Linked DNA regions of Coturnix japonica. The protein of the gene in region 3 purifies or fractionates together with the protein of the main gene of each other region. This does not show direct contact. Links are inferred from orthologs where the notes say so. Each region holds a gene or a part of one and is shown on either strand. Other genes may lie near its edges.

Evidence for each region. The genes of interacting proteins can lie anywhere in the genome.
Region 1: the proteins of CDC27 (region 3) and PLK1 purify together in Homo sapiens (affinity purification with mass spectrometry; 4 studies listed by BioGRID and IntAct, with this or other methods). This does not show direct contact. The link is inferred for Coturnix japonica from reciprocal best matches to the Homo sapiens genes CDC27 and PLK1.
Region 2: the proteins of CDC27 (region 3) and cadherin-1 purify together in Homo sapiens (affinity purification with western blotting; 4 studies listed by BioGRID and IntAct, with this or other methods). This does not show direct contact. The link is inferred for Coturnix japonica from reciprocal best matches to the Homo sapiens genes CDC27 and CDH1.
Region 4: the proteins of CDC27 (region 3) and TTK purify together in Homo sapiens (affinity purification with western blotting; 3 studies listed by BioGRID). This does not show direct contact. The link is inferred for Coturnix japonica from reciprocal best matches to the Homo sapiens genes CDC27 and TTK.
Region 5: the proteins of CDC27 (region 3) and ANAPC7 purify together in Homo sapiens (affinity purification with western blotting; 23 studies listed by BioGRID and IntAct, with this or other methods). This does not show direct contact. The link is inferred for Coturnix japonica from reciprocal best matches to the Homo sapiens genes CDC27 and ANAPC7.

The regions. Positions count from the first base shown.
Region 1 is NC_029529.1:6,813,027-6,818,776, forward strand, and holds the end of PLK1 (serine/threonine-protein kinase PLK1), read left to right. Parts: intron 1-301; coding exon 302-460; intron 461-677; coding exon 678-755; intron 756-1,219; coding exon 1,220-1,374; intron 1,375-1,839; coding exon 1,840-2,022; intron 2,023-2,392; coding exon 2,393-2,599; 3' UTR 2,600-3,157; downstream 3,158-5,750. Other genes in the region: ERN2 (serine/threonine-protein kinase/endoribonuclease IRE2), read right to left, coding at 4,270-4,461, 4,528-4,595, 4,744-4,867, 4,947-5,074, 5,172-5,319, 5,748-5,750. UniProt on the Homo sapiens protein: Serine/threonine-protein kinase that performs several important functions throughout M phase of the cell cycle, including the regulation of centrosome maturation and spindle assembly, the removal of cohesins from chromosome arms, the inactivation of anaphase-promoting complex/cyclosome (APC/C) inhibitors, and the regulation of mitotic exit and cytokinesis.
Region 2 is NC_029526.1:16,828,666-16,834,798, reverse strand, and holds part of cadherin-1, read right to left. Parts: intron 4,286-6,133; coding exon 4,056-4,285; intron 3,946-4,055; coding exon 3,811-3,945; intron 3,725-3,810; coding exon 3,569-3,724; intron 3,501-3,568; coding exon 3,356-3,500; intron 3,243-3,355; coding exon 3,067-3,242; intron 2,954-3,066; coding exon 2,825-2,953; intron 2,736-2,824; coding exon 2,218-2,735; intron 2,142-2,217; coding exon 1,999-2,141; intron 1,919-1,998; coding exon 1,694-1,918; intron 1,504-1,693; coding exon 1,282-1,503; intron 1,206-1,281; coding exon 1,075-1,205; intron 895-1,074; coding exon 751-894; intron 637-750; coding exon 424-636; 3' UTR 1-423.
Region 3 is NC_029542.1:2,282,988-2,290,326, reverse strand, and holds the start of CDC27 (cell division cycle protein 27 homolog), read right to left. Parts: upstream 4,464-7,339; 5' UTR 4,233-4,463; coding exon 4,206-4,232; intron 1-4,205. UniProt on the Homo sapiens protein: Component of the anaphase promoting complex/cyclosome (APC/C), a cell cycle-regulated E3 ubiquitin ligase that controls progression through mitosis and the G1 phase of the cell cycle.
Region 4 is NC_029518.1:72,240,964-72,247,568, forward strand, and holds part of TTK (dual specificity protein kinase TTK), read right to left. Parts: intron 3,894-6,605; coding exon 3,788-3,893; intron 3,686-3,787; coding exon 3,610-3,685; intron 3,531-3,609; coding exon 3,433-3,530; intron 2,690-3,432; coding exon 2,587-2,689; intron 1,911-2,586; coding exon 1,793-1,910; intron 632-1,792; coding exon 450-631; intron 335-449; coding exon 198-334; intron 1-197.
Region 5 is NC_029530.1:4,520,782-4,526,237, forward strand, and holds the end of ANAPC7 (anaphase-promoting complex subunit 7), read left to right. Parts: intron 1-150; coding exon 151-262; intron 263-489; coding exon 490-643; intron 644-749; coding exon 750-892; intron 893-989; coding exon 990-1,107; intron 1,108-1,511; coding exon 1,512-1,708; intron 1,709-2,284; coding exon 2,285-2,509; intron 2,510-2,906; coding exon 2,907-3,057; intron 3,058-3,555; coding exon 3,556-3,745; 3' UTR 3,746-5,214; downstream 5,215-5,456. UniProt on the Homo sapiens protein: Component of the anaphase promoting complex/cyclosome (APC/C), a cell cycle-regulated E3 ubiquitin ligase that controls progression through mitosis and the G1 phase of the cell cycle.

The DNA.
Region 1 (5,750 bases), on a different chromosome or scaffold from region 3:
GGCGTCTGGAAGTGAGGGCTGAGGACTGCAGCACTGGATGAGTGCCTGCCTGGCCTCTAGCAACACACAGACCCATCTGTGGGGAATATAGTGCTGCCTCACCTACTCTCCCAGTTCTCATGATAACTAGAACATATCGTGTCTGGGAGTTCTCCTTGTTCTTTGTCCAGAACCAAAGCAGGGAGCAGTTCAGCTATGAGGTGCATAATGTGTTTCTTATAACTAGGGTAGCATGTAAATTGGTGCTTTTAGAAACTTGCTGCTCATGTTTCTGCAATCTTCTCTTTTTTTTCTGGCCCAGGACCAGAAAGCCCTGCATTAGAAAACCTGCCTGAAAAGGAAGATGCAGCTGGGCTGCGGGAGGTGGGAGACAGCATTGAGTGTCACTTAGCAGACATGTTACAGCAGCTGACTGCAGTCAACTCAGCCAAACCCTCTGAGAGAACTGCAGTGAGACAAGGTGAGTCTGGGGACAATCCCACAGGCACTGACATTTTTGGACAACTTGCTTCTGTCATTGATGCCTCTTGGCTGAACTGAGGGACCAACTGACCTCAGCTTCAACCTGAAAGGCAGAAAAGCAATGTGGAAGCTACTTACCTTCCTCTTGGCCTTGCTTGCTGTGCTGCACAGCATGCCTTAAAATGTCTTCTAACAAACTCCTTTTCTCCTTGCAGAAGAAGCTGAAGACCCAGCCTGTATTCCCATCTTTTGGGTTAGCAAATGGGTGGACTACTCGGATAAGTATGGTCTAGGTAAATAACATGATGGCAGTACTTCAGCCTTTTCTAGCTCCTAAAGCAGCTGGTAGAAGTCCTGATCTGTGCTCAGTGTAGATTTAGTTCTTAAATCATGATCAGTGTTTGCATTCAAGAGTATCACCGGGAGCACCATCAAACACTAAGTGAACACAGAGTAATGGCCACTGAATATCTACCCTGGCCACATTAAGGATGCAGGCAGCAGGACCCTGTGGATCCAAAGTGGCTAATGTGTGTACTCAGTGTAGGAGTTGAAGTTGCTTATGCAGCAGATAATGCAGCAAAGGAGGGTGACAAACCCAGAGGAGAAAAAAGTGCCATCTCGACCTCTGTTAAAAGGAGGATCTTTAAAATTGATGAGGTGGCCTCCAGGGATCCCCTAGATGATCCAGCTCTGTATTTCATGTAACCAAGGGTCCCATGTGTGTGAAGGTCTGACAGGCTTTTTTTTCAACCAGGTTATCAATTATGTGACAACAGTGTTGGAGTTCTCTTCAATGACTCCACTCGTCTCATTATGTACAATGATGGGGACAGCTTGCAGTACATTGAGCAAAACAACACCGAGTCCTACTTCACTGTGAGATCCTGCCCCTCTGCCTTGAATAAGAAGGTCAGTCCAGAGGACAGGAGCCCTTGGTGGTGGGTGGCTGTTCCTGATGAGATTTCTGCAGGTCTCGTTGAGCTTTGCTATCAGGGTGGACAGTGGGGGGGGGGAAACATCTGTTACTGGGAGTCGCATTCAGCAGGATTCCTCTTGGCTGGTAAAATGTGACCCAAAAGAGAGTTCCTGGCAGCATCTTGCTTTTTTCTAGTTGCTAACTGAAGCTCATTTCTGAGCAGCTTCACATAAATAAACTCTCATGAAGCTGACATGTGCTGAAGCATTCAGCAAAATGAGTCTTGTACTCAGACAGTGAAGTTAACTCTGGTGGTGCTTGAGAACTTGCACCAGTTTGTGCAGTGACCCCTTAAGCTCTGAAAGACATAAGTCTCAATTTGTGGTAACAGCTCCTACTCTCCCCAGATATCAGGGCTCATCCTCAGCCTGTCTGTTGACAGCCTGTTCTATTTGCAGATAACACTATTGAAATACTTCAGGAACTACATGAGCGAGCACTTGCTGAAGGCAGGTGCTAACATTACACCTCGGGAAGGAGACGAGCTGGCACGTTTACCCTACCTCTGCACGTGGTTCCGGACCCGCAGTGCCATCATCCTGCACCTCAGCAATGGCACCGTGCAGATCAACTTCTTCCAGGTGAGGCTGTTGTACTGACTTGCTGCATTCAGTGCTTTGTGGTAAGGTGGTGATTCCTGCAGGCAGTTACAACCTGAGCTGAAGCTTTGCCCTGTGAACGTAGCACTAGAAGGCTCCTTGCTCTGCTTGCTGGTATTTAAGCCATCCAGCCATTCCTAGCTCATCTAGTAGTTGTTTCCTTTAGCATGAACTTGTTTCCCTTTGCTTCACTCTATGAGTAAGAGCTTTCTTGTTGCGGCTTTTCTGCAGTGTTGTGCTTTGTCAGCATGCTGCTGGCCTGCAGTTGGGGTGACCTTGCTGTGTTGGTTCATCCGAAGGAGTGAAAAACATTGCAGAGCAATGTGCTGACCTTGTGTTCCCTCCCCCACAGGACCACACCAAAGTCATTTTGTGCCCTCTAATGGCTGCTGTCACATATATAGATGAGAAACGGGACTTCCGCACATACAAGCTGAGCCTCATTGAAGAGCATGGATGTTGCAAGGAGCTGGCCAGCCGACTACGCTATGCTCGCACCATGGTGGAGAAACTCCTCAGTTCAAAATCTGGCTCAGCCCGTGTGAAATCCTCCGTTTAGGCTTTGGTCTTGATGGAACCAACATCTGTGCCAAACCGGCTCAGCTGTGGACAGGGAAGTTTATTAGCATCCCTTGTACTGTAACTTGCCATCACACAGCTGGGTTCCTGCTTCTGGGTACACTCTGATTGCCCCCAGGGAGCCCCTGATGCTGTGGTGATGGTGCTGTGTTCACTGTGAGTGGTGCACAAAGGGGTTTCTTGCTCTTCCCAATACAAAGTGTTTTTTTAAAATTACTTATATAGTCTTTTTTTTTCCCCATCCCCTTAACTTTTCAAAGCCTAAAGCCTGACTCAAACACCAACCCTCTTGTTGGAGGTTCCTGGGCCTTCTAATGAGATAAAGCGTGGGGTTCTCCCCAGAACGATCATGTAAGTTTTGTACATGTCTGTGCATGATGCTCTGGACTTTGTTTCCTTTTGTCACAGTACAACTAATGTATTTAACCTGCCCAGGTTGAGACTGAGCAATCTGCATTTTAATACTGAACTTGTTCTACATGCAAACTAAACTTTTGTATATTGTATAACTTGATTAAAGATTGTTCTTGGGAGTGTCCAGCCTCTCTTGGTTCCTTGACAGGGAGGCAGCAGCATGTTACTTGTAGATTCCTCGTGACCTATCATCTCCACCAGCTCTTCCCACCAGCTGCTGGCTGAGCTCAGCCTTGGATTTGCTCTTTGGCAATGCCAAAAAGAAAATAGAGAAGAGCCTTGGGGCTTATTGCAGGAGGAAAGCAGTTCTATGCCTCCCCTTTTCTGTTTGATCAGAGCCTTTGATTATGTTTCATGTTGTAAGTACTTTGCTAACACTGTAGTCATGCTGGACTGCTGCAATAGTCTAGTGCTGATGGCTGGCATCTGCTGCTGTTGTACAAGTCTGGTTTAAAGCAAGACAAGCTTTTTTTTTAATTATTATTATTTTGTAACATTCTGTATAAAATGTTCTTGGCCATACAGTGTTCTGAAGATAAACCAGGTACAAATGCCTTGTTACCTACAGTAACAAGATCCCATATTCCAGCAAAAAGAGGAATGGGTCTGCACAAACCCAGCTTGCTATCAGCACTGTGATGGGGACTTCAAGCCTCCCCCTAGGCCTGGCATGTCCTCCTAGTCCCGCTGCAAAGAGGGAGGCTGAAGCCCTGTGACAGATGCTGAGCACTGATTTGTGTGCTGTCAGCTGGGGATAAAGACTGTGTCCAGGGTCAGCACTGTGCGATCAGTCCTTCTGCTCCCATCTCTGTGTTAAGCGTGCAGACAGCTGCTTCCCTAAGAGGAACCTTGGGAACGAGGCTGCTGATCTGAGGAGCAACCTGTGGGCTCCAGCTGCTCCCAGGAAAGTGGTTTTGTTTTCCTTCCTTCCCTGACCTCTCAAAATACCGCATCTGCAGTAGAGAATTTTTACTCTCTGGTCTTCAAGCTCCTATGTCTGGACCCCAAGGCTCTGCAAAGGCAGAAGCCCCGTGGGTCTGGCAGACCCTACATGCACCACAAGGTGCCCATGTCCTCATCTCATCCTGTCCAACTCTGGGGAGAGAAGGATGCCAGAAGGTTCCGGGGCCATCCAGGAGGATTGCTGTGGCTGAGTCCCATACAGGTAAGCCCCAAAGGTCAATAATCTGGCAGCCTGGGCTATGAGGAGCGGTGCTGCAACCACGCTGACCCTGCTCACCTCCCTGTGCCCCCCAGCTCAGGGCTATAGTAGGGGTGGAAGAGCCGCTCATGGGCGCAGAGCTGCATGGCACCATGTGTGTGCAGCAGCAGCCGGGGGAAGCGGGAGGTGAAGTACTGCACGAAGCCATCGGGGACGGGGCCCAGCGCCTCACGGACCTCAGCAGGCAGCTCATGGTAGTGGTGCTTCTGCAGGAGAAGGGGGATGTGAGGGATGGCAGTGCAGTGTGGGTGGGGGGGGTGGGTGGGATGTACCTTGTTCCTCATGGCACGCAGCAGGTCACGCACTGAGCTGCCCTTGTAGGTGCGGAACTTGCGCAGGTCTGTGGGGAGAGCAGATAAGAGGGTGCTGGGAGCACAGCCCCACAGCCATGGGGTTCTGCTCTGCGTGCCTCCATCACCTCCAGTGTCTGACCATGGGGCTATCTGACACCCGGAATGTTCCATTCCCTGTATATTCCTGCTTCTTACCCATCTGCAGCGGCAGGGAGATGTGCATCCTCCAGTTTGTCCTCACCACAGCACGACCACCCGCCTCCAGGGCTGTCACCAGGGCCCCCTCAGCTGGCTCCTTCTCCACGCGGTCACTGACATCCTGCACCACGCAGTGGGGATGTGTGAGATGTGAGGAAGAAATTCATTGCCCGCACTGTAACGCAGTGCATGGCACACACCTGGAAGAACTGCAGCTGCTTCTCTGCGCTCCAGAAGAAGGGGTGCATGAGGACAGCAGGGGCTGAGGGTCGCCTCTGGGGTTCACTGCTGAGCATGGATGTGATCAGCTCCCTGGCCACGACCTTGTCTGGTGCACGGAACAGAAGAGAGCAGTGGTAGCACGAGGAAGATGGGCACAGGGCTCAGTGCAGGGACGGCACTGCAGGCACCCACTGCAGCCTCACCGTGCACATCCTCCTGCAGGCAGGGCAGCTGGCAGGCACCTGCCAGGATGTTGGCCTGGCGCCGCAGGCTGTCCCCAAAGGGGTGCTGTCCTCCTGACACCACGTAGTAGAAAACACAGCCAGCAGAGAAGATGTCCACTGCGCATGTCTGCAAGACACAGGCAGGAGATGGGCCCCTCACAGCCCACAGCAGCTTCTCCATTCTGTGATGGAGCATATGCCAGACAAACTCAGCAGAGCAGTTGCTGCCCTTGCGCCCACATGAGCTGACCCAAGCACAAGGCAACCTAGAACCAGCAGGTGTGCAACCTCCACCTGCCCCATGTTTGCCAAAGCAGGGCCAAGAAACAGAGGGATGAAGCAGCGCTTCTGCTCCACCAGGCTTCCATTGCATTGGGAAGGAGCAATGCAGCAGGGCTGCCTGGAGGAGCTCTGGCACTGAACACTGCTGTGCTGGGGCCACATTTTGCTCCCAGAGCTCTGGTCTGAACCGTGTGTTCCAGCAGCACACTGCAAGCAAGAGGAGGCAGCAGGGGAAGGCTGGTGAGTGCTAAGCAGGACGTGTGGCTCACTGACGGG
Region 2 (6,133 bases), on a different chromosome or scaffold from region 3:
ATGGAGAGTGCTGGAGAAATACCTTCCTCTGTAGCAAAGGGGGAGAGGCAATGGGGGCCTCTTTCCTTGCAGGGGGAGAGATGCTGAGCACCATCCACGTGCTGGGGGCTGTGGGATTCGGGCACTGGGAGCTGATCCAGAAGCATCACACCTCCAGGCCAAGGAGTGCCTGCCACCAGCCTGTCCACAAGGAGCCCCAAATGGGACCGTGTCCTGTGTGGGGCTGAGGGGGCAGGACAAGCGTGGGCTCCCCAAAAGCCTCCAACCCCGGTGACCCTGAGCTTCCCCTGCACCAAAGGGGAGGGATGCGAGTGGTGGATCCAATATTGTTGGAGGGGGCTTTGGCTGCAACACCCAGTGCACGTCCGAGGGGGTGAAATGGCAAGAGTCATGTGGCGGGACAGCCAAGGGGACGAGGGCTGCCTAGTCATCATCCTCCCCACCGCCATAGAGCTCCGCCAGCTTCTTGAAGCGGTTGCCCCACTCGTTGAGGTAGTCGTAGTCCTGGTCCTGGTCGGAGGCGGAGGAGTTGAGGGAGCTGAGCGAGGTGGCCTCCGACCCTCCGCCCTCGTAGTCGAACACCAGCAGCGAGTCGTAGGGGGGGGCCGTGGGGTCCGTGTCAGCCGCCTTCAGGTTCTGTAAGGGAGGGCAGAGGAAGGGCTCACCCGCTGCTCCCCCCCGGCCTCAGCCCTATGGGATGGGGACGCTGTGGTCAGCCCAGCAGTGCCGGCGCAGACGGTCGGGGCTCACCTCATCGATGAAGTTTCCGATCTCATCGGGGTTGGCGGGCCGGGGCCGGTACTGGGGGGCGGCCATCAGCGGGGGGGCCACGTCATTGCGGATCACCTCGGGGCGGGCGTCCAGGCCGCGGTGCAGCTGGCTCAGGTCGTAGTCCTGCGTGGGGATGGAGCAGAGAGAACAGCAACATGACACTGGAGGGATGGCTGCAGGCACTGCTTTGCACACTCCAAACATCCCTCATGGTTATGGCAACCCCCCTGTGGGCCACCTGCCATAGGAACAGTGCTGCAAGGATCCCACGGGCAGCACTGAGATCTGGCACCCTGGTCCCACCTGGTCCTCCTCGCCGCCGCCCTCCTCATCGTAGTTGTAGACATTGTCCCTCATGTCATCCTCAGGCGGCAGCAGCGGCTCCTTCTCCACTTTGCGTCGCCGGGCAAAGAGCAGCAGCAGCAACAGCAGGACTGCGAGCACAGGGCATGGCGTCAGCGCTGCGAGGGGAAAGCAGCCCCATCCACTTCCCCATCACACCATACTCACTCAGCAGGGCCAGGATGCCCCCCAGGATGCCCAGGATGGCAGGGACACCCAGCCCACCGACGATGTATGACCTCCGCTCGCAGTTCTTGGCTGTCCCTTCACACTCACACACCTGGGCTTTGACCTGTGTCACCTGTGTCTTGCCCTGGCCGTCCGTCAGCTTCACAAAGATGCTGTACTCGCCCGGCTCCAGCTCCTTTTTCAGGCCCACGGCCAGCTCATCTTGTGCAAGAGAGAGGGAACTGGGCTCAGAGTCGTCCCCAAGTGTGGAGACACTATCAGGGCTCTGCTCCATGGCAGCTCCCCATCATGAAAGCAGCAGCAGCTCAGTGCTGGTGGCATTCAGGGTAGCACAGGAAGAAGTAGCTGGGATCTGGCCCTTGCTCAGTGTCCCACACCCCACAGCACTTACCTTGGCTTATTATACTGACAGTCCAGTTGTTGCTGGAACCATGCTCCAGTGCTACTGTGAAGGGGTAGGTATGTGGGGGCAGGTCCTTGTCGACAATGCTCAGCACCTGCTTCTCAGGCTGCCGGCTGCAGATCTCAAAGGACCGTGGCTCTGGGGTGGGCCCGTTGTCATTCACATCCTGGAGGAGCAGCAGCAGCGTCCCCGTACCGGTGCTATCCGGCACCCCTACAAAGCCAGACGTTAGCGAGGCAAAGAGACCACATCCCCAGAGCTTCCATCTGCCTGCAGCGGGGGCACAGCCTCACCATTGTCCACAGCCAGGATGATGGCCTTGTATGTACTGTTGATGGCGTGCACCGACTCACGGTCCAGCGGTTGGGTGGCCGTGACGATGCCGTTCTGGGCGTCAATGGCCAGCCAGCCTGCTGGGTCGCTGCCCATGCGGTACCTGGGCAGAGGGAGCGGTCAGGGGGAGCTCAACGCCCACCCCATGCTCTCTCTCTGCCAGCCAAGCCCCCACTCACGTGATTTTCTGTCTCATGTCCCTGTCGGGGTCTTTGGCCGTGTAGGATGTAACCTCGTGCCCCACTGGTAGGTCCTCTGGTACCTCCACCCTCTTGACAGGGGGCATGAAGACAGGGGGCTCATTCACGTCCAAGACAGTCACCAGGACGCTGGCGGAGGAGAGTGTGATGGGCACAGACAGGGGCACTTTGTTCTCCACCGTCACCACCAGGTCATAGCGGCTCTTGGTCTCATAATCCAGGCCCTGCAGGGTGGGGTGAAGGGTTGAGGTGGTAGTGGGGCCGATGGGGACATGACCCACTCTGGGGCCACTGGCAGGGACGTGACCCACCTTGGCTGTCCTCAGGATGCCATTGTTGGTCCTGGGGTCGGTGGTAATGCTGAAGGCACCATCCTGGTCCCCACTCTTGATGTGGTAAACGGCTTGCCAGGCTGGGGAGCCTGGTGCGTCTTGGTCCGTCACCGTCAGCCTGGCCACCTCCATACCCGGCTTGTTCTCTTCCACCACCCCCTCGTACTGCACAGAGGGCACAGGGATGGTCACACATGGGCAGCCTGGGGAGGGCAGCAGCTGGGGAGAGCCAGCCAGGGTGGGGGAGCACGTACCATGGTGGGGTTGAAGACGGGAATGTTGTCGTTGGCATCCGTGACCTCAATGATGGCCGTGGCGGTGTTGGACAGACCCTTGCCCTCCTGGTCGGTGGCCTGGACAATCAGCGTGTAGTTGGGAGTGGTCTGCAAGATGAGGTCACAGCATCAGAGGCCCCGCGTTCCCACAGAGCACCCCACAGAGCGCCCCTCTGTGTGCGGGTCTGTACCCACCGTGGGGCGCAAAGCAGAGCACCCACCTCCCGGTCCAGCCCTGTGCCCAGCACGCTGATGACGCCCTTGGCTGGGTCGATGGTGAACATCTGGGGGTGCGGGCTGGGCGGCTGCTGGCTGACGATGGAGTAGCTGACGATGCCGTTGTCCGTGTTCACCGCATCGTCCGCATCCGTGGCGTTCACGGTCATCACGGAGGTGCCTGGGCAGAGCCAAGAGCCGGGCAGACGTCACTGGTGGGACGCGGCACCGCCGCCCCCGGCACCGCTCCATCCCGGGGCTCCCGGCCCCCCGCCCGCCCGCCAGCCCCCACACCTGGCTTGGCGTTCTCCTCGATGTAGCCAACAAAGACCTCCTTGACGAACACGGGCTTGTTGTCGTTCTGGTCCATCACCGTGATGATGATCTCCATGGGGTCCTCCACGGGCTGCCCGCTGGCTGACACGGCGTGGGAGAAGAGCTGCAGGGGGGGGCACCGTCAGCCCCACGGCCCCGCACGGCCCCGCCCGCCCCACGGCCCCCACTCACGGTGTAGCGATCGATCTTCTCCCGGTCCAGCTGCTCCGTCACCTCCAGCCACCCCGTCTCACGCTCGATGATGAAGATGCCCACGGGCGGGCTGTCCGCGCCCTGCCCCGTGATGCTGTAGTACACCTTGGACTCCTTGTCCTTGTTGGATTTGATCTGGCGGCGAGGCAGGGTGCTGAGAGGGGACACCCAGGGGCTGGTGCCCGTCCCAGTGACACCACGCTCAGCCCTCGGCCCCGTACCTGCACCAGCCTCATGGGGTAGGGGCCCCGGTGGTTCTCCAGGCAGCTGATGGGGGGGATGACCCAGTCCCTCTTCTGCCTCCGGAGGAAGCCGGAGTCATGCTCGGGGAAGGTCAGCACAGACGGTGTCATGTCCTGCAGGAACAGCAGCTCATCCTGGTGCCTGTGGCAGCACAGAGCAGCCCAGAGGCACCTGCTGCTCTTGGCCCGAAACAGTTGGGCTGCAATGACCATGGGGACTTCACCTGCAGGTGTTGGTGGTGGTAGTGGCGGCGGTGCCTGTGCCTGCCCACAGTCACCCGTGCTGAGTGCCTCTTGCCCGTGGCATCCCGTGCGTAGATGATGAAGCTGATCTCCCTCCCATGGAGCGTCAGTGGCCGTTTTGTTGAGACGACGCCTTCCATGTTCACCTTGAAGCGCGTGTCAGACGGGACATACACGGCCCACGGCCGCCCGCTGCAGGCTGCAAAGCTCACTGCGGGCAGGGGAAAGCGTGGGCAGGGTCACCCCACCATGCACAGAGCATCCCCATGCACCACTGCATGCACAAGAGAGCCCAGGCACAGAGCACCCCTGTGCACTGCAGTGTGTGCAATGCAGCCTGTGCGTGATCCACTGTACCATCACAGAACCATCCAGGCTGGGAAACACTGCAGACATCCCCCACCCACCCCACCATGCCCATAACCGCATCCCTTGGTGCCACATCCCCACAGTCCTTGAACTCCCCCATGGACGCTGACTCCACCACCCCCTGTGCAGCCCATACCAACACACTGCCACTCTTCCAAAGAAATTCCTCCTAATACCCAACCTCAGTGTTCTCCATCTTTGCCATGTGGGCATGGTGCATCCATACAGAACATGCCTCCATGGCACAACGTGTGGCACACCACTGCTGCCCTGCCCGTGGCTGTGGGCTGAGGGTGCTGTGCTGCTGCTCCGGCTGCTTTTCAAATCAAAACAAGGGCTGTGTCTGGCTCAGATCCGCTGGCACGTGGCCACCCCAGCAGCCAACTGGGATATGAGTCTGTGCAGTGGGGAAGGTGCACCCAAGGGCGTGAGACAGCAGCTGGGGCACCCCTGCTGCCCAGGTATCCATACAGAGCTCCATCCCCTCTGCTGCTTGGGGTTCTTTTGGGACAGATGACACCCCGGAGTCACCCTGCTGGGTCACAGTGTGAGCTCCAGCACAGGCCATGCAGGTCTGGCAGTGCTCACAGCAGGGACCAGCATACCAGGGCTGAGGACAGCCTGGGGGGGACCGCGCAGCTCAGCAGCGAGCAGCAGCATCACATGAGGCTGGGCCGCATGGCTGGAGCTGCCAGAACAAACGCTCCTTTGTCTGGGGATGTTTTGTTTGAGCCGGCAGCACTCAGCCGGGGTCCCCCTGACCCGCACAGCCTTGGCTCCCACATGGCCGTACAGCACGCGGGGTACCGCCATGGCCCAGCAATGTGCCCGGGCTGGGAAGCACGGAGCTGGGCTCCCCAGGGGCGGCCGTCACTGCCGGGACCTGTCCCAGCGTCCCGTGTTACATCAGCCTGCAGGCAGCCCAGGAATTCAGAGACAACATCGAGGGGGAGGTAATGGCAGAGCTGGGCCGGGGGCTGCTCGCCCACCGCCGTGCCGCGCTCCCTGCGGGGCGATGCCAACCCAGGCGGGCCAGCCGGTGATACCGGCTGTGCAGGGCTGTGCTGGGGCACGCCGGGCGCTCCCGCACCGTGTGCTCGCAGTGGGGAGGTGCCCCATCCCTGCGGGTACCCGGCTCCTGGCACTTGGCCGGCGGAGCGCACCGTGCACAGCACCCGGCCCCGCACCGCTGCTAAGCTCCCCCTCTCCCCCTCTCCCCATCTCCCCCTCTGCGCCCGGCCGTGCACAACCTGTTTTTCCAGCTCCACACTTGAAAGCCAGCCCCTCCCAGCTCCATTCTCCCCGGGGCACTGAGCCAATGGGGCCTCGGCAAGGCGTGGGGCAGGGGTCGAGCTCAGGGGCTCCTGCACTGCGGGAGGCAACTGAGTGCCACTGATTTCCTGGACCTTCAAATGCGTTTGGCCGTGGGGCCCAAACCAGCGAATTACCGGCTCAAAGCTGGGGTGGGGAGGTGAGCCCTCCACACTGGGCTGGGACCTGGGGACACCAAGCTACCCCCATTCTGCTGCGACACAGGAAAGTGTCTCACTGGGGCTGGGCACAGGGTGAGTCACAGGCGCAGCCAAGTGCCACCATCCCAATGTTCTTCCCCATCCCCACGCAGGTTGTGCAAGTGCGGCTGTGCCGGGGCGGAAGCTGGTGGCGGGGAGAGGCACACGTCAGCCATGAG
Region 3 (7,339 bases):
ATTAGTGAACCAAACAAGAGCTAAACTTATGAATTCAAGGCTCTGTGGTCTAATACTTCTATATTTATATGCAACTACAAACATGAACAGAACCCAGACCCCAATACCACAGACATCCAAAACTAAGATTAAACTCTCAGAGAGAAAGAACTAATGAATGCTGTCTCCAGTAGGAGAAAAGTGCCAGTTTCACATTTTCCCCCCCAAACATCACAAACAGTTACACGGACCATATGCTGCTTCTTCCAACACAAACTTGACAAACTCAGGGTGTGAAAAAAATGTGTGAGTTCTGCTCCAGGGAAGCCTACACAGTCTTTATGAACAGCACACAGCAGAGTTCCCAATCACTATATAGATATCACATATAGATATCACAGATATGCACATCACCTCTGCAGAGGTATTTTCTCTTTGGTCTGTAGGTCTCAGCTGTACACTTAAAATCAACAGGTACTTTAAGCCCGTGTAAAAATTATTAATTCTCTGCAAATAATAATGCAAAGATGTTCTTTCTCTCCAGCTGTACTCCACGCTTCAGATAACTTCAGCCAGTGTCTGCATGAGCAATTGCTGCTTTTACCTTGAGAAGCTCCAGGGCCGTGCATTGCTGTGCCCCCCAGGTAGTGTTGTATGAGAAGAACTGAACAGAAGGAGGGTGTTAAAACCTTTCAGACTAACTCCAGGTTAGGGCAGCTCAAGGTCTCCCTCTTCCTCCTGCTCTCCAAATCAGCTCTTCCTTCAGTGAGCCACAAGTGGCATTCAGATCAACCTACCCAACAAGAGCTGCCCTGGAGTTAAAGGCACCGTCTCAGCACACATACAAAGCATGGGGGTAATGGTGGCAAAAATAATAGCAAAAATCAGTATCATCTGGTTCCCAAACAAGAGCAAGATGCCAGAAGATCCTGCCAAAGGCTGAGAGGGGACCCAAGTCATTCTTGGCTAAATCACAGCCGTGTTATACAAGGTATGCTACACACTGGCTCAGAGAACAAGCCTTGCTGAGCAGAGTCCCACTGAACGCAACAAGCCAGCTGGCAGAATCCATTTATGTAATAATAGTCATTTTGCAACTAAAAAGGTGCAAGTTGGAGCTGCACCTTCATTAGGCTGATTCTGACAGCTGGATCCTCACATGTGTTGCCTATGGGGGTAGTGAGGGGGGAGGAAGGTGGCAGAGATCAACCACACCAGTGCAGTGCTGATTTTCTACAGGTATAGCACAAGATAAAGCTCTAGCTTACACAAACTACCAACAAAGAGTATTGCTGCTGCATTCTTTAGGAAGCAAGTTTGGGACTGGAGCATCACTGTCGCTATAGAGTGGTTTAAAGCAAAAACACTTTGGGGGCATTTATCCAATAAAAACTACTTAATCCTGCAATTCTTTGGGCCAGGACAACCCAGTCTTACTCTCTTCTCTGCAGCAGTGATTACATTTTACATGCACTGCACCCACCAGGACCCAAAGCAGTCATCTCCTTGAGTGTATGATAAGCAGCTGATGCACTGTAGCTGTCATGTCCGCTCTCTGAGCAGCAAACAAATACAGACAGGAGAGAAGCTTCATGTGCTGCAGAGTTTTACCATGCTTCCAGAAGAGGTTAAGTGTCCAGGCTCTCATCATCCAGCCTCCTGAATACACACATCCATTTGTAAATGCAGAGCAAACAGGGAATCCCAAAACTACCACACCAGCTACAGCTCTATGGCAAAGCATCCTCAGAGTCAAAAGCAAGCAAATAAAAGCCAATTCACACATGTCTATTCTCAACCTAGAAGATCCTGGGCACCATCCAAGCATCACTTCATATCTAACCCCCAAATCTCAAAGGATAAGCCCACACTTCTGACAGTTACACAGCCTTGGGAATTACTTCTCAAGCTTAATAATGTAGTGACATGCTAAGCAATCACTTATAGCACATTTTAACATTTGTTCAAGGTGAGGAGAGGGGAAGAGAGTTTCCAGTGACAGACTCCACTATATTTGCTAGCTATAGAGGCTCTGGTAAGTAATCAGACACGTAGTGGTACTGGATGCTTCCAGCCATGGCAGCAGCCTTGGAGTTCAAGCATCATTCATGTGGGTCACGGCAGATGATCACCTTGAAAAGCTGAACTCCAAGGAAAGCCTTCACTTTATTTCCATGATGTTTTTCAGAGCTATTTGGAAGGCACCCAAATGTACACAAGATACAAGGCCTTACATCTGAGCTGAAGAGTTTTAAGCTGACCACGTCAAGAAGTACAACAGTGCTCTGTTGTCTACATAAAATGAGTCAAAGCACCAGAGGTTGTGACATTTAATGAGCCAGAAGAAATCTAACCGGTCATCTTGATGTCTTTTAGGACATAACTTATTAGATAATTAAAAGATTACACTTTTAAGGCAACATAGAAGCAGAGATTTCCAGCATTTATCTGTCAGACTTTGTGTATCTTGCCTACAAAGATGAGTTTGGAATATCAGCCTTGTAGGAGCTGGTGATGAAATGACAAACAGAACATCTCTGCAGTTACAAAGTGAAAAGTAATGTCTGCTTATTTCATGCATACTATAAAAAAAAAGCACAAATAAATAGAAAATCAGAGATAAATGCACAGAGTCCAGCTAGAAGAGGAACTCAAAAGCACAGTTTAACTTCATTCAAGCTGTGTACTGCAAAATGGAGTCTGATGATTGGAGACACGGTGTCAGGGCAAAAAGAAGAGTGAGCTGATACAGAAAGCTTCTGCAGCACAGAGCTCCCAGCTGTGCCCTGTAACAGCAGATCCAGGCAGGACCAAATGCCAGCCTTAATCTGGATGGCTGCACTGGCAACTTTTCTACCTTAAAAACCAACAGTCCAGCCAAGGCCACAACAAGTAACAAATCCTAAACTTATCAGCATTGCTGTAAGCAGGGAACAGCAGCAGAATTACTAACTAAAGAGTTATTTGGCATGTGAAGAGTCTAAATAGGGACATTCACTATAGCAAAACCCTACCAAAACTCACAAGCAGATAAAAGCTTGAGAACAGTATTAGACAGGTCTTTATCATGCATTTCTACCAGGGAACTTTTAGAACAGCAAATACTTTCTTCTAGCTTAGTCTAATTAGCAGAGTAGTGGAAACATTAAGTATTGTTTCCTGTCATTCCCTTTGAAATGCATTCTTGCTCCCTTTTCTAACACAACCCCATGTTTTCCTAGAAGACCCAGCTGCTAAAATAGCATCACAAATACAAAGGTTGCAGCAGTGCACGGGTAACACCACTGAAGACCCAACAGAAAACTCATTCCTACCAACACATCGTCCCACACTCAGAGGAACAGAACAGCAGCATCACAAACACAAGGCCCTGCTCTATGCGAGCACTGTGGCTGCCACCATCTCACACAAGGTCAGGCCAGCAGGGTGGTGGTCTTCCACAGGAGAAGTCCTTCCTTCCTCATCCTCTTTTCCTTAAAGAAAGAATCAAAGCCAGACTGTTCACCAAGCATTTCTGTAGCACCAAGATGCCTACAGCTCCAAACGTAACAAGGAGAATAAATACACTGAGAAGCTAAAAAGAGAACATGAATGGGATTAGCAGAAAATCACACAATTAGAGTGATGCACATAAGGGGAAAGGTAGGAAGAAACAGGCAGCTCTTATCCTGTAAATCATATCTTTGCAATGGGATGATTGAGAACGAGCAGGAAGCCCATCAAGGTAGGACATGAAGGTAGAAAAACACAATTATGTTGTTTTCTCTCCCAGAGCAGAGATACAAACTCTGAGACACATCCACAGGGAACAAGGCACGTCCTTCACACCGGCACAACACGTAGGGAACCGAGCACGTATCGAAACGAGACAACAGCAAAGAGGTGAGCGGGACGGTTCAACAGGTCTCCCCGGGGAGCTGCGGGGAGCAGAGCGGCCTTGTGCTGCCTGCACAGCGACGGGGAGACCGGGAGGGATCAGGGGGGTGAGGGGTTGGTCTGCGAGGCGCAGGGGGCTGCTGAGAGCCCACGGGAGGGGCCATAGAGCTGCCACAGGGCCCAGCTACCGAGGAACGGACACCGAGAGCAGCCCCCGAGCGGACAGGGCCCTTATCGGCCTACAGACATGGCCCTATAGAGCGGGCGGCGCCGCTCCGAGCTAGGCCGGGACCGGGCCTCGGGGCCTGAGCGCGGCGGCAGCCCGAGCCCGTCCGCCTGGGGGTCGGTACCTGGACGGGTTCCTGTAGCACCGTCATCCTGCTCCCCTCGGCCTCCTCCTGCTCCTCCTCCTCGCCAAACCCGGAGCGGGGCGGCCCCGGCCCCGCCTCACTGCGTGTCCCGGCGGCGGCGCGGTGCGGCCCGGCCCCCGCTCATTTAAACTCGCAGCGACCGTTACCGGGGCGGGCGGCGGGGAGGGAAGGAACGAGGTGGGCCAAGAGCCGAGTCCGCCCGAAGCAACCGGCGGAAATAGCCGAACCCACTGCCGGAAACACCCGAAGAGGTGGGCGGAAAGAGCCGAACGCTGACGGAAAACAGCCCTCTCGGCTGCCGAACGGAAGCGACTCAGCTGGCGGAAACACCCGAGTGCGGACGGAAAGAGCCGAGCGCTGAGGCGGGGCAGGCGGTGTTGCCCCTCAGGATCTGGGGGTTGGAGGCCGCTTGGGGGCCTGAAAACAGCTTTGTACCAACACGAAATAATAACAAACTGCTTTTTGTTTTTGTTTTTTAAGCAAAAAATGGGACTTCAGGGTTACTCAAGAAGCCTCAGCGTCCCTCGGTGGTGGGTGAGGGGCCTGGTTCCCCCCCACAGAGCACAGAGGGCGCTGGCCCACATCTCTGTGGTAAATCCATCCATTTATCTGCCATAAAACCATAAAAAGTCGTTTTTTAACGACCCACAGATCATTAACTGGAGCTCAGCGGGTTTTTTGGGGTTTTTTTTTTTTTTTTTGGGGGGGGGGTGTGGGGGTCAGGTTTTAAAGGTTGGAGCTTTGATTGTGGAGAGCTTTCCTTGCCTCTGTGGAAAACCTGGTGTCCCTGTGACAAAGGACCACAGTGCTCATCCATTTCCACCCCCCTGCTATGTGCAGGGTCACCAACCAGCAGCCCAGGCTGCCCAGAGCCACATCCAGCCTGGCCTTGAATGCCTGCAGGGATGGGGCATCCACAGCCTGTTCCTGTTCCAATGCCCCCATCCAGGTCAGAAATGAAGGGACTGAGCAGGACAGAGCCAGCACCGACCCCTGTGGAACACAACCGCTGAGCAGCCGCCATCTGGATTCACCACCAATGAATGGCAATGATGGACACCTGGCTCCCAACCGGGTTGCTTTCACAGCATCATAGAAAACCCCATGTTGGAAGGGACCCATAAGGATCCAACTGCTGAGCCGTTTTGCCCCAGGAGCAGCAGAACCTTCCCATAAGTGATGGTGGAATGTGCAGACGTGAGTGTGTGTGCATCAGAGCCCGCTCTGTTATCATCATCCTCACCCCAATCTCTGCCCCTCTGCGTGATGAAGCTCCTGGGGTGGAAGCTCCGTCTGCTCCCTGTTGCACACAGGCTTCTCCTGACACCCAGGCCATCTTTGGTATGAACCTCTGCCTTATCTCAGGCTGAGGAGATACAGCAACAGGCTCTCCCTAAAGTGGGAGGTTATTTTTCTTACTTCTTGGGCTTCCAGTGAAGTGTTTGAACTGTGAAAGGGCAACAGCCTGAACTCTTGTCCTGGGACATCTCCATCTGCTGTAGCCATGCAGTTCTATGGATGAGGTCAGTGGATGCTCTGTGTAAATGGGACTGAAGCCACCCCTCAGCACCCCGAGCTCAATGCAGGGAGCACAGAGGAGTACAGCAGTGCAGAATAGAGGTATGTGCTGCTCCTGTACACATCATTCCAACCTGCCTCTGTCTGAATCTACTTATTGCCTTGGAGAGACAGAGCAGATCCCCAGAGCACAGCATGGCTGACGTATGCTGGGGGCTGCTGCAGAAGCTGGAGTTATCAGCCCTTGCATTCTTCTCGAGTCCTCCCTGTCCTTTTCCACTGCTCTCTGCCTGCTTGCAAGAGCCTCTTTGCTTTTAATTTATAGCATCATTCCTGTCTGCACAGGAGCTGGAGGCTGGAACACACTGTGTGCAGCAGCAGAAGCACAGTCTGTGCCTTGCTGGGGTAGGACCATCACATCCAGTGGGGCCCCCAGCCCCTGCTGCACATTTCCTCTGTGGCTTTGGGCAGATCCTTTGCCTCTCTGCTCCGTTACCATCTGTAACAGCACGATCCTCTGCAGGATGCAATGCCACTGCAGGGCCACGAGCCCAAAGTGCAGCAAGTGGTGCCCTATAGTGCCCTTTCACCACAGTCCTCTGCCAGGTTCAATCACAGACTGCACTTTAAAGGCATTAAATGCCCAGATTGTCCCTAGTGGAAGCTGTAGAAATACCACAGACAGAAGCTAGGAATCTAATCATGCATCTATAAACAGCTTATGTTGCTTTTTATGAGCATTCATATCAAGCAGTGGGAATTGGAAGCAGCTGTTGCTCGGTTGTGGTGGTGGCTGAAGTCAGCCATACTAAAGGAGAATGCTTTAAACTGCCAGTCCATGGAGTGAGGGCACTGCAAGGAACAAAGCAAAGCGTTATCTGCTCCCAGGTGCTCTGCTGATGGCTGAGTTGTCTCATGAATTGTTCACCACTTCTAAGGATGTTAGCACCATTTTTGCAGGTAGGGAGGGAGCTTCCAGCTGGCATTGCACAGCCCTGGATGGCTCCTGGCTGCTGTGTGTGTGCATCAGAGTCAGCCAGGGAGCATGATCTGTCTGGGCTTTACAGGATGCTACTCATGCATCAGAGCGGCTGCACCAAAGCCATCCAGGGTGCATGGTCCTGGCTGGGATGTAGGATGATAACCATACAGCAGCAGGGCCAAGCATGTCCCTCTTTGCTCCATAGTGTTCAGCTTAGACCTGCAGGGAATGCTCACAGCACAGCACTGTAGGGTAGATGGGCTACAGACCCAAAGATGTGTCCCAAAGCCAGAAGGACTGTGGGTGCTGCTTATCCCTCATCTCCAAGCCTTTCTTCCCCCAGCTGCAAGACCCCCAACCCACAGCAAAGGCAGGGAGATGAGCAAAGACCCTCATGCTGTGCCTGAGCTCCTCTCTCCCATCTGGAGGCCACCAAACCCACTGTTGTCCCTTTCTTCCCTTGCTGTCACAGCATCCTGCCTCTTCTGGTTGCTGGATCCTGAGCTCCTCACCCATTGCTTTATGACCAGCCCGAAGCCAAAACACAGAGACCACGTAAGGGAGGATGGAATGAGGTTTAATGATACAAACTGCACAGGAAAAACCTGAAAAG
Region 4 (6,605 bases), on a different chromosome or scaffold from region 3:
TTATCTGGTACCTTCACTATGTATTGTGTAAAACAAATCTGATTTTCAGAAGTTTCCAAGTTGTTAAAAGGTGGAAGAAGCGAGCACAATTTCCTTGCAAACCATTTTATTTATTTACTTATTTTAAATTAACCTATACTATGAGATGACATGCCCAAGTGCTGCCCATGACTGTGCAATCAAATGAAGTAGCTTACCACTCCATATAATCTGTACACGTAGAGCTTGGTGTTCCACAAACATACAGTAGATCATTTTTCTTTGAAACAGCATCTGGTGGTGACAGTCTTCTTGAAATGGGATGACCAGACTGCTCAAGACTTGACCGCTTTCCCTAAAGAAAGTAAACGTATTATTCCACACAAGAAGCCACCATTAAAGAAATCATTTTTCACAATATGTGAAAGTAGCTCCAGGTAGGAAGCCATCACATATTCCTGTTACCTCACCTCTCTATAGCAGTTTTGCTGCATCACTTCTTGGCTTGGCCATTTTTTTCGGGAGTTAGGACAGTTCAGTTTTATCTGATCAAATTGCTTTCTATAGCTTTCAGAAGAACTGGACTGTTGCTGTCGACTTTCCAGGCTCCTTGGTTCTGGTATCTTCAGCTCTTGACACTGGAATTTATTTTCTGAATAAATCAGAAAATTAAAAATACTTAATATTCAGTACTTGAAATAGTTCCTGGTAATTTACCTCAATTTCTAGATACATTTCCCTTCATTTTCTACATCAGAATAAATGAGAATCATTGATTTACTGGAACCCAACATCTTTTACAGAAACTGTTGTTTGCAAGGCATTAGTGTAATCTTCAGGGTTAATATTCAGCTCACTGTAGTAACATGGCAACTGTTTAAAGAAAGTTAGAGTATTACTAAAATATAACGCAAACCCGCTGCTGTAAGTAGGCTGTAAATAGCATAGCTTAAGAGTGGTCCTCCGATTGCTTGTGCAGTCTTAGATTCATGTAACTAGAAAGGATATACTAAGCAGAAGTTGGATGACTTCTGACTCAATGTCTTTATTTAGTATAATTGCCATTCAAATGAACCAAGGATTCCAGCAGTATGAGATCATAAATCTGAGTTAACTGAGCATATGGAAAGAATGGTAAAAGACATTGATTGGGTTGGGTTTTTTTCCCCGGTGACCTAAAAGAAAGTAAATAATTGCAGTGATTTTTTTAAAGCTTACTTCGGATAAGGCATCTTAGAATAAACTTCAACACAAGTAATTAGAGCTACGGCATCCACATGACAAACTACAAGCACACACAAGGAAAGCAAGCTAGTATGATTTGAGTGCCAAAATAAAGCCTAAACAGACAACACTCGATGAATATTTTAATCCACAGTTGGAATTGCTGTCAGTCAGCATACACTTTTCCTGTATAAACTATCACTTCTGCTGGCAGCATTTTTCCATGCTCAGGCTGGCAAGTCATAACTTGAAACCCTATACTGATGTTATTTTAATACCTATTTACTTTTTGTTTACAATAAAATTAGGTATATAGTGAATTAGCACTACACGTGGGCATTTTATCCTCAAGCCCAGTCATCCACACACAAGATATTTGACTTTAGACCTGCAACAACTGTTCATTTTCAGCACTTCCACAGATACCACTCATAACTCATTTTAATTAATTGCTCTTAAACTCCAAGCAGATCCTTTTCTCCAATTCTGAATAATGTTTTCTTCAACAGTCTATGTTTAAAACACAGAACAGCAATTTCTCAATATTTATTTAATTCCAACATTCTAGAACATCACATTAATAAGTTACCTTCTCTTTTCATCACAAGACTTGTATCTATTTTGTTCTTCAGAGTGACAGTTGAATGGGTAGCCGTTTCTGAGCTGCTCTCTTCTAACAGCTGCGCAGAACTTTTTTCTTGTAATAACTAAGAAAACAAAAAGCATGTTGAAAAGTAAAATGGTTCCCAAGTATAGTGCCCAAAAGACATTTCCATCTGATAAGAAATGACCAGCGTACCATAGAACAAATAATTTAACAAAAGAGCAGGATACACAGAAATATTACCGATCCTGCTTTTAAATCCATTAACACACTCAATTGCCACCACACAATTTCTTTAACAAAGACCAAATGTTTTCTTTCTGGAAGGACAAGACAAAAATGCAAGACACATCTCAAAATTATACTCCATCAAAAGCCATGATTTACTGCTCCTTAAATCATTTAACAGACTTCAGTGAATTAGCATAATGGAAATACAATACTTCCCAAGACAAAAAATCCTGACTACAGCTGAAAGAGTCTTGTAGTCAAGATGTAATCTCATTTCCTATTTATAAATTATATGAAGGATTTTTAAATCCCCCTCACCCTGTGCTATTTCTCCCAATGGATTTACAGAGAGCTTTTTCTTAACACCTGATCACACATAATGCTTTTAAATTCTGAAAGCTGCAGTGAATATTTCTGTTCACAATTGATTGCTTAACAGAGCAATTCTATTTTATTACTTAATCAGACTTGAAGCGTTATCATTTTTCTAACAACATCGGACAACCATCTAGGGTTCATTCTGTCCATCTGAAAAATGTTTATATTACCTTTGAGTCTGCCAGGTCACACGAATCATTCTCACTAAGTTTTGGTTCAGAGAGTGGAAAAGGTGGAATCAAGGCTGTACATTTGGAGCTAGATATTTGCCTACTGAAAAAATATTGTTAGTTTTATAACATGCAAACATATAACAGTTGCCTTTTGTAATACAGATAGAGACAGTTGTGTGAATTTCAAAAACCATAGGAAAAAGGGTCCACTGATAGCCAAGTGAGAAACTGTACAGAAGTGTTTAACAGTGCCACCATAATCTCATGAAGTGACAGATGACTAATTGGTTGTCTTCTACTACGACAGGTAAAAAAGTACAGCTAGCAAACAATAGGCTTCAAAGTAAGTTTCTAGCTCTTGGACAGACATAACAATGTGGTGTTTAAGTTGGCAGATCCTTCTGCTGCTAAGCAGTTACATTAAAATGAGCATATTCACTTTCATAATAGAACAACGAACATATACATCAGGAGATCTCCATTGTTATGAAAAATTATAGCAGTACTGCTAAAAGAGCATTTAAAATTATTCTGGAAAATAAAACAATTTTTGGAACTAGAATATAAAAATCTCAAGTTACTTTTAACAGAAATTATCTTTTAGTCTGTGCCTCTCTATTGAGGCCATTGATTTGCTAGAACAAGGAACTGATCCATGCTGCTATACAATCTCAGTATTAAGTTAAAAAGATGTTTAATATCTAATCACAATTATGATTATTTGTCAATCTTAAATTTTTAACATTAACACTTTATATTCCCACCGTCTTATAAGAAAAACAAATCCCTATTGAAAAGGAGAATGAAAATCTGCTGCACTGCAGCAAAACCAAGCAACTATACCTTTTCATAACACTAGCTGTATGAGGGACATCCATCTTCTGCACCACGTCATCAAAATCATTTACTAGTTTAACAGGAACCCTCCCAAAAGGGCAGGCCTAGGAGTAAATCACAAGTTATTAAATGCATAAAGTTTTAAAATTTTAATATTTTGAAAGAAAATAATTCATGTTATACCTGGTTAGATTTGTTTAGTGGTCTTAATGGATTGTGGAAGTTAACAACAGCATCAAGTTCTTGTGATTTCTCGTCCCTGAAAGCAAAAAGAAAAATAAAACACCAAAAAAACAAACAGTAGCAAATGGTTTTCTTTCATAAATGCTTTAAGAAATTAAATAAGAAATCAAGTCATTACCCAAGAAGTTTAGCAACAGCAGAAGAATTTTCAGTAGAATCGTTCCTTTTTATATTTCTCTGATTTCCAACTACACTCTGAAGTCCAGACACTTGTATACCTGACGCTGTAGGTAAATTAGTTAGAATTATTCAGACTGTACAACAGGTTCCATTAAGCACTTCTAACCATTTAGAAAGAAATACATCTGCAGTAATCTAATATCAATATATATTAATAACATTATCTATTATAAATCTAGACATATATTTTATACAATTTTAAAAGATTTACAGCCAGAGAGATATCTAGGACAGGCACAAAGTGACACACAACTTCTAAAATATATTAGCTGCTTGATTTCTGCAAAGCTATAATTGTAAACTACTTTAAAACAAAGGGAGATTCAACAAATCCAAAGACTATCCAAGCAATTTAAATTTTCACTTTAAATCCTCAATCACTGGGTTAATGGCTTAAGAAGCTGTTTCTTCCTCATTCCTTGTGATGCAGCTTTCAGAGCAAGTCCATTTTCTAGATCTCCACTCTGAAAATAAGCCTTCACTCCAGAACAGCATTATGTAAAGAATGAATCTGAAGCTTGTCTTATACAGACTCACCTAGAAACATAGAACTGCTCACATATAGACTCAGTTTATTCCATACTCCCGTCTAGATAAACACAATAAATCCTAAATTAAGCATCAAAACCCAGCTTCTCCCAGAGATAGTACCTCTAAGGTACAACAGAATAGACAGATGAATAAATTCCCTACTACTAGTACTAGTGACTCAGTAACTTGTTACCAAAGCTTGTTTGTTGGACCCTTCTCACTTATATGCTAACATCGCACATACAAAAACACTCATATTTCATACCAGGCAAATTAAACTGAATTAGACAAAGTAATTAGCTGGGTGTAAGTGAACTACCTGATTTTGCTCAGGGCAAAGTTGAGAGTGCTCTTACGAGCTGTGTTCTACAACTGCAACTTCACAAAAGATAAGGAAGCCAAAAGCAACAGCTTCAATAGCTCAACCTAACAGAAAATCTCACCCAATTATGGAAGACTTAGCAAAAGTTATCTGAAGTTGTACATTAACCTTCAAACAAAAACGTAAATTCAATTGCTATCATCCAAACTATTTCTGAGTAAAGCTGAAAAATGGAAGGGGAGGTAACTCCTCAGAGATTAACAAATAATCATGATATAACCAGATATATATCATGAAATAACCAGAACACACAATCATAGAATCACAAGAATAGAAAGGACCTACAAGATCATCCAGTCCAGCCATACTCCCATTACCGTCTCTACCACAAGCCACTAAACCATATCTTGTAGCTCCTCATCCTGAAGCCTCATGAACACTGCCAGGGAAGGTGACTCCACCACTTCCCTGGGCAGCCATTCCAGTGCCTGACCACTCTTTGAGAGAAAATAAGTCTTTCCTTATGTCTAACCTAAACCTCCTCTGCTACAGCTTGAGGCCAGTCCTTGGGTCCTGTTTGTTGCCTGGGAGTAGAGGCCAAACCCCCCTCATCACAACCTCCCTTCAGGAAGTTGTAGAGTGCAACAAGGTGTCCCCTGAGCCTCCTCTTCTCCAGACTGAACAACCCCAGCTCCCTCAGCCACCCTTCATAAGACTTGTGCTCCAGACCCCTCACTAGTTTTGTTGCCCTTCTCTGGACATGTTCCAGGGCCTCAACATCTTTCTTGTAGTGAGGGGCCCAAAACTGAACACAATACTCAAGGTGCAGCCTCACCATTGCTGAGTACAGGGGGATGATTACCTCCCTGCTCCTGCCAGACACACTATTTAATACTATCTAATACAAGTTAGGATGTTGTTGGCCCTCTTAGCCACCTGGGCACACTGTCAGCTCACGTTCAGCTGAGCATTAACCAATACCCCCAGGTCCCTTTCTTCTTCACAGTCATCCAGCCACTCAGCCCCAAGCCTACAGTGCTGCATGGGGTTATTGTGGCCAAAGTGCAGGACCCAGCACTTGGCCTTGTTGAATTTCATCCAATTCACCTAAGCCCAGTGATATAGATTACCTAGATCCCTCTATATAGGGCCTCCCTACCCTCAGGCAGGTCAACATCAGTAATACAAAGGTACCTATATCACACCTCAGTAACTTCCTGTGCACATTGTGCATAACTATGTTACAGTATAGACCTCTCCATTTAGGGAACACTGAAATATGAGCTCTTTTAAGAGCCTTAGGTGAATACTAAACCCAACTTCAGTTTATTATCCTGACGAGTCTTATTAAAAGGAAACTACCATCTGATTAGTCAGATAAACAGCTAAGCTGATTTATAACACAAGACCATTTAAAAAAAAAGAAAGAAAAAAATATGCAATATATTATATGCAGTGAACTACTACGGTGTATAGGAAATTGGTAATCACAGCCTGAACCTCTGATTAACCAGCTGAGGCAAGTGTCAGGTCAGCTGTGGGAGCACAGGTGAAGGTGATTCAGCTGTGCTTCCGGAAGGGGTTCATTTAAGGGCTGATGACCACAACAACAGCATCTCTTTTTGGAGATAGTTCCTTTGTGGAGCTTGGGTGACCAGCCTCAGCATTTTTCATCTAGATTGAAGATCTCAGAATTGGTGAGTTTCTCCTATAGATAACCTTTGGCTATCTATTATACCACCATTCTTGTATTATCTCCTACTTTCTTACTTTACATATGGTAAGAGCTTCCTCATCAGGTAGGCCTTGTTTTCCATCATTATAGCTGAGCACATTCATGGTTATCTGCTACTTTCCAAGAAATCCCCAGTTTAAGGACTTTGATTTTTACATACAACTTTGC
Region 5 (5,456 bases), on a different chromosome or scaffold from region 3:
ATTTGGACTCAAGAGTCAATATTAATTTTATAATACATACATAGTAGGTTATAGTGATCTCTACTCAGAACGGAAGGGAGGGACGGCATGCTGGAGGGAGGGCAAAGTTGTGACCTTTTCTTAGTGAGGACTCCTTTCTAATACTTGCAGATCAATATGATGCTGGCAAATCTATACAAGAAAGCAGGTCAAGAACGCTCCTCTGTTACAAGCTACAAGGAAGTACTGAGGCAGTGCCCGTTAGCACTTGATGCCATACTAGGTAGGTTTCTCCACGCTGTTAAGTACATCAATCCTAAGAAGCATTATAATTTGAAGCATGGTTGGGACTAGGTAATTGACTGCCATCTCTAGGTAATATCTGATGCAGATGTATTTAATGCAAACTATAAATTCGTGACAAATTGTTTGTGCTTCCTTGTCTTCAGATAATTTGTAGCAACGGTGATTGAAATTGTTCTGTATGATTTTGAATACCTCTGTGAACAGGTTTGCTGTCGCTGTCAGTGAAGGGTGCAGAAGTGGCCTCTATGACAATAAATATCATTCAGAGCATTCCAAACTTGGACTGGCTTTCAGTGTGGATCAAGGCATATGCGTTTGTGCATACTGGAGATAACACTAGAGCCATCAATACAATTTGGTAAGATTTGGAAGAGTGTGATGTAATCAAATGCCATAAAATATTTCTTCAATGACATTTTATAATATCATTACACATTAACAACAGCAATTTGTTTCTCTTAAAGCTCTTTAGAGAAAAAGTCACTGCTGAGGGATAATGTAGATCTACTGGGGAGCTTAGCAGACCTGTATTTCAGAGCTGGAGATAATAAAAACTCTATTCTAAAATTTGAACAAGCTCAAATGCTGGATCCTTACCTAATAAAAGGTGAGTAAATCATAGTGGAAAATTTACCTAGTATAATGTTCTGCTAAATTAAGTTAGAGTAGCAAGCAAATATTGTCTCTCAAACTTTTCACTGTAGGAATGGATGTGTATGGCTATTTGTTGGCACGGGAAGGTCGACTGGAGGATGTAGAAAACTTAGGCTGCCGTCTCTTCAATATTTCAGATCAACACGCAGAACCCTGGGTAGTGTCTGGGTAAGATGCTCTCTTTCCTTTCTTACCCTTGATTTGCTGAGTGTAGTCCATTACAGCTGATAGAGTGAGATCAGCTTTTTTGTCCTGTTTTGGAAGTAACTTGAACTAGTCAGGAGTACCTATTTTGGTTGGTTTCTTTAAGACTAAACTGGTTTGAATGACTAAACCTTTGCAATAGCAATGATGTGTTAAATAGCTGTGATGGTTAATGGTGTTCTCTTGTTTGTTTGTTTTCCAGAGGTGTTTGGGGAGGTGTTTGTTTGTTTGTTTTTACACAAACTTTTATTTTTAACTTAAAATGTAGAAGGTTCAGCAGTTACTTGTAACCTGTTCCTTCCCTCTTTTAAGTCTCTGTGAGTGTACACAGGCAGTACATGTTTACAATCCATCTTGTCTTTCCATAGGTGTCATAGTTTTTATAGTAAACGATACTCCCGTGCCTTATATTTAGGAGCCAAAGCTATCCAGCTTAATAGCAACAGTGTTCAAGCTCTGTTGCTGAAGGGAGCTGCCCTCAGGAATATGGGCCGAGTACAGGAAGCAATCATACACTTCCGTGAAGCGATACGTCTTGCACCTTGCAGGTTGGATTGCTATGAGGGTGAGTGAAACAAAGCTCCTCAGACTGCATTGGTGCAGTGTTAACGGCTCTTATTGAGAAAGAATAGACAAGCTCTTTTCCCCTGTTGACTTTCTAACATGTAAAGTTATTTTTACCCAAAAAACTATAGTGCTGGTAGAAGTAGTCAGACAGGAGATACTAGAGAATGCATGTGTTTATAAGAAGCATTTTCAAATTGTTTGTTTTTAAGTGGTTTAATCTGAGTGTAAACAGACCCGGGTGTTTTGAGCAGATCAGTTTTGGATGATGACATTCAGTGTATGGTTAGTCATACCAGGAGCCTCATTTTGACATACTGTCTCCTAAGCATGAGCAGAGTTTGATGGTAAATAGTTAAGGAGAAATACTTGGGGGGAGTATGCATTTTTTTGTGGAGTTAAAAGTTCTCTTAGCAGAATAAAACCCTCAATATTAAATAAAAATGGACAATAGTGCTTCCAACATACTGTATATTGGCAGTCTTAGGAATTGCTTGTAGAATATTTCAACTGCTGGCAACAGGTATCATCTGGATATACCAAATGAAACTGAAACGCTTTTCTTTCTTATTATCAGGTCTCATTGAATGTTACCTGGCATCTAACAGTATCCGGGAAGCTATGGTTATGGCAAATAACGTGTATAAAACTCTGGGAGCAAATGCACAGACGCTCACTCTGTTAGCAACAGTCTGCCTTGAAGACCCAGTCACACAGGAGAAAGCAAAAACATTACTGGACAAAGCACTGACACAAAGACCTGATTACATTAAAGCTGTGGTAAAGAAAGCAGAACTTCTTAGTAAGTTTCTTTTTTCATGTCAGCTTTCTTAAAACTTACTCTTTCATATACAGGAGCGTTCTGTGGCCTCATCAGTGCAAATAACATGACAGGGATGTTGCACCACAGGGATCTGTCAGTTCTGTTTGGAAGGAAAAAGCATGGGAATTAATTATACCTAGCAACTGACGTTATGGCAGCACTTAAAGCCACTGTATACAAAATGTTTTGCATTCAAAGTATATGATGTGTTAATGTGTGTAGCAGTTATTGCTTACAAAAAGCGTATTGCTGCCATCCTTCATGCCAACAGCTCCAAGAGAAGAAATGCTTTTGTGTTGTGGTAGCCCTTGGAGTACAGTCTGCTTACACAGTTATCTAAACTATTAATTAAAACTGTAGTTTTGCAAATAAACAGGTAGAGAGCAGAAGTATGAAGATGGAATTGCTTTGCTGAGGAATGCACTGGCTAATCAGAGTGACTGTGTTCTGCATCGAATACTGGGAGACTTCCTTGTAGCTGTCAATGAGTACCAGGAAGCAATGGACCAGTACAGTATTGCCCTAAGGTAAGCATGAGGGCTGAGACTGTATCGTACACATAGAATTGAATAACCAACCAAGTAAAAAATTGAGTGCCAGGGCACTGGTTGATTAGGGCATGCATCAAGGGTAGCTTCACATCATTCTTCCTCAAAGCAGACAAACGTATACATCGCATTCTGATAATGAATTAGTTGGTCACAGGGCTTTGTGCCAAGGAGTGCAAAATATAGGGATTGTATTAACTGCAGACACATTGCTGGACATGGAGTTCCTTGGCTACTGAAGTGATTGAGGCATGGATGTATTTATAACTAATAATTATACAGGCAGGATTCTTGGGAGCTGTTCCATTAGAGCAGGAGATGATATATAAACAGGAGCTACTGTGTAAATTTAAATAGGTAATAAAGAACCATGATGTTACCTTCTGAAGTTAAATGTTTCTATATTTGTGACATTACCATAAAGATAAGAAAAATAAGTCTTAAGGCAATACTTACTTTTCTTCTCTTTCCCCTCAGCTTGGATCCAAATGATCAGAAGTCACTAGAAGGAATGCAGAAAATGGAAAAAGAGGAAAGTCCAACAGATGCAACCCAGGAAGAAGATGTGGATGATATGGAGGGAAGTGGAGAAGAGGGGGACTTGGAAGGCAGTGACAGTGAGGCAGCCCAGTGGGCAGATCAAGAGCAGTGGTTTGGCATGCAGTGATGGCTGCTCTCCCCAGTGCTTGATTTGGCACATGAGAACATCAGTAGGGCCATTCCTTTCTGAACTCTGATCTTTGCAGGAACTGAAGACTCTTTTTTATCTTTTTTTTTTTTTTTTTTTTTAATTTAATAGAACTATTAAATGGTTTCAGTCTATGCATCTCAGTGCCATGAAGATTCTTGATGCTTCTTATTTATTAAGCATAAGAGATTAACTGCAGTTAATCAAACCAAAAGCATTAGAATCTAAGGTTTCTGTAAGCCTGCTGTTTATGATGAAAGCTGTCGTGTTGAGGGCTAAGTGTGCTTTATCAATTTGTAAATAGTATTTTGGTATATGCCTTTGTAAAAAAGGTCTTCTTCCCTTGTTTGTAAGCAGCGATTTGGGCTCACACTCCTGATGAAGTCTGGAGGAGTCACTTGGCTGTGGCTGAAAGCAGCACTTCTTACTCGCTGTGTTGGTTTAATTACTGTCTTTTTACAAGGCATTGCATGTGGTGTAAAGAAGTTTGGCACCCCAGGCAGCTTTGAGCTAGAGGACACTTTTGTAGCTGATTGATTTCTATGTGTACAGAGTCAAACCAGCCCTTATTAAACCTTATAATCTGTCTGTACATAAACATTTTTAAATGCAGTTGAGTTTTACTTCAGTGTGTTACTAAAGGCTTTTACAGCAGTGACTCAAAGCACTTCATGTTCTGCATACAGGAGGTATAAGAATTCATCCTATTCCACTTGCTTCTCTGCAAAAACGTACAAATATATATCAGCTTGTTTTTGTCATATATATACTTTTTGTCAGATAGTATTTGAATTCACGTTATCATTTCAACACCATCTCTTTGAGGGTGATCTTTGTTTCAGTTCTGTGGGCTCAGTGTGTAGGAGGAGGAATTACTTTGTGCTGTTACATTTCTTACCATTCTGTTTTCCTTACTATTTCCTTAAACATCTCTTTACATTGCCAGTTTAATCTCTTTCACATTTATCCTGTACCCGCAGTTATGCTGGAGCAGATGGACCTTAATGCAGGGCTAAAAAGCAGTTCAGCATAGCAGCTAACAGAGGAATACCTACTTGTACAAATACCTGACACAGAGAACAGGCGTCCCCTAGCTGTAGAAGTACAGCACCAATAAGGGTAAAAGCTCTTCTGTGATGTGCTATATGAATTACAAGAACACACAGCAGATCAATCCTCTTACAGACCGTTATTGAAGTACCTCGCTATGTCACATTCTTAGAAAGGAAACTAGTATTTTAGCACTTAAAAACAAGCAGAAGAGCTGAGTATCTCTTCTCTCTGGAATCCTGAGGGCTTTAAACTTTCCAAAGTATTAAATGGAGTTCTGCTTGGTTGAAGATTCTGTGGGAGGAACAGAAAAGCCCATGCTGCTGTCTTGGTGGTTGAACTGGCATAAGTTGTGACTGCTCTGTAATTAAATAAACACACTGAACAGCTTCATTTCAGTTACAGTGCACATTCTGCTAATTGCATTCTGGTTTATGAGGGAGCAGAACCTATTTTAAAATGAAGAACTTAACTATTTACAGCCTTGCTCTGTGATGCAGTGAACAGCTTTCAGCTCATTGCCTATTTCTTTGTAATAGAAAGAAATACAGATTTACAGACAAATTGAAACCAGCTCTTTTTTCCCCCCTCAGGATACAATCTGATGAAAGCTCGAGCCTATGTCCAACAGATAGGTAGG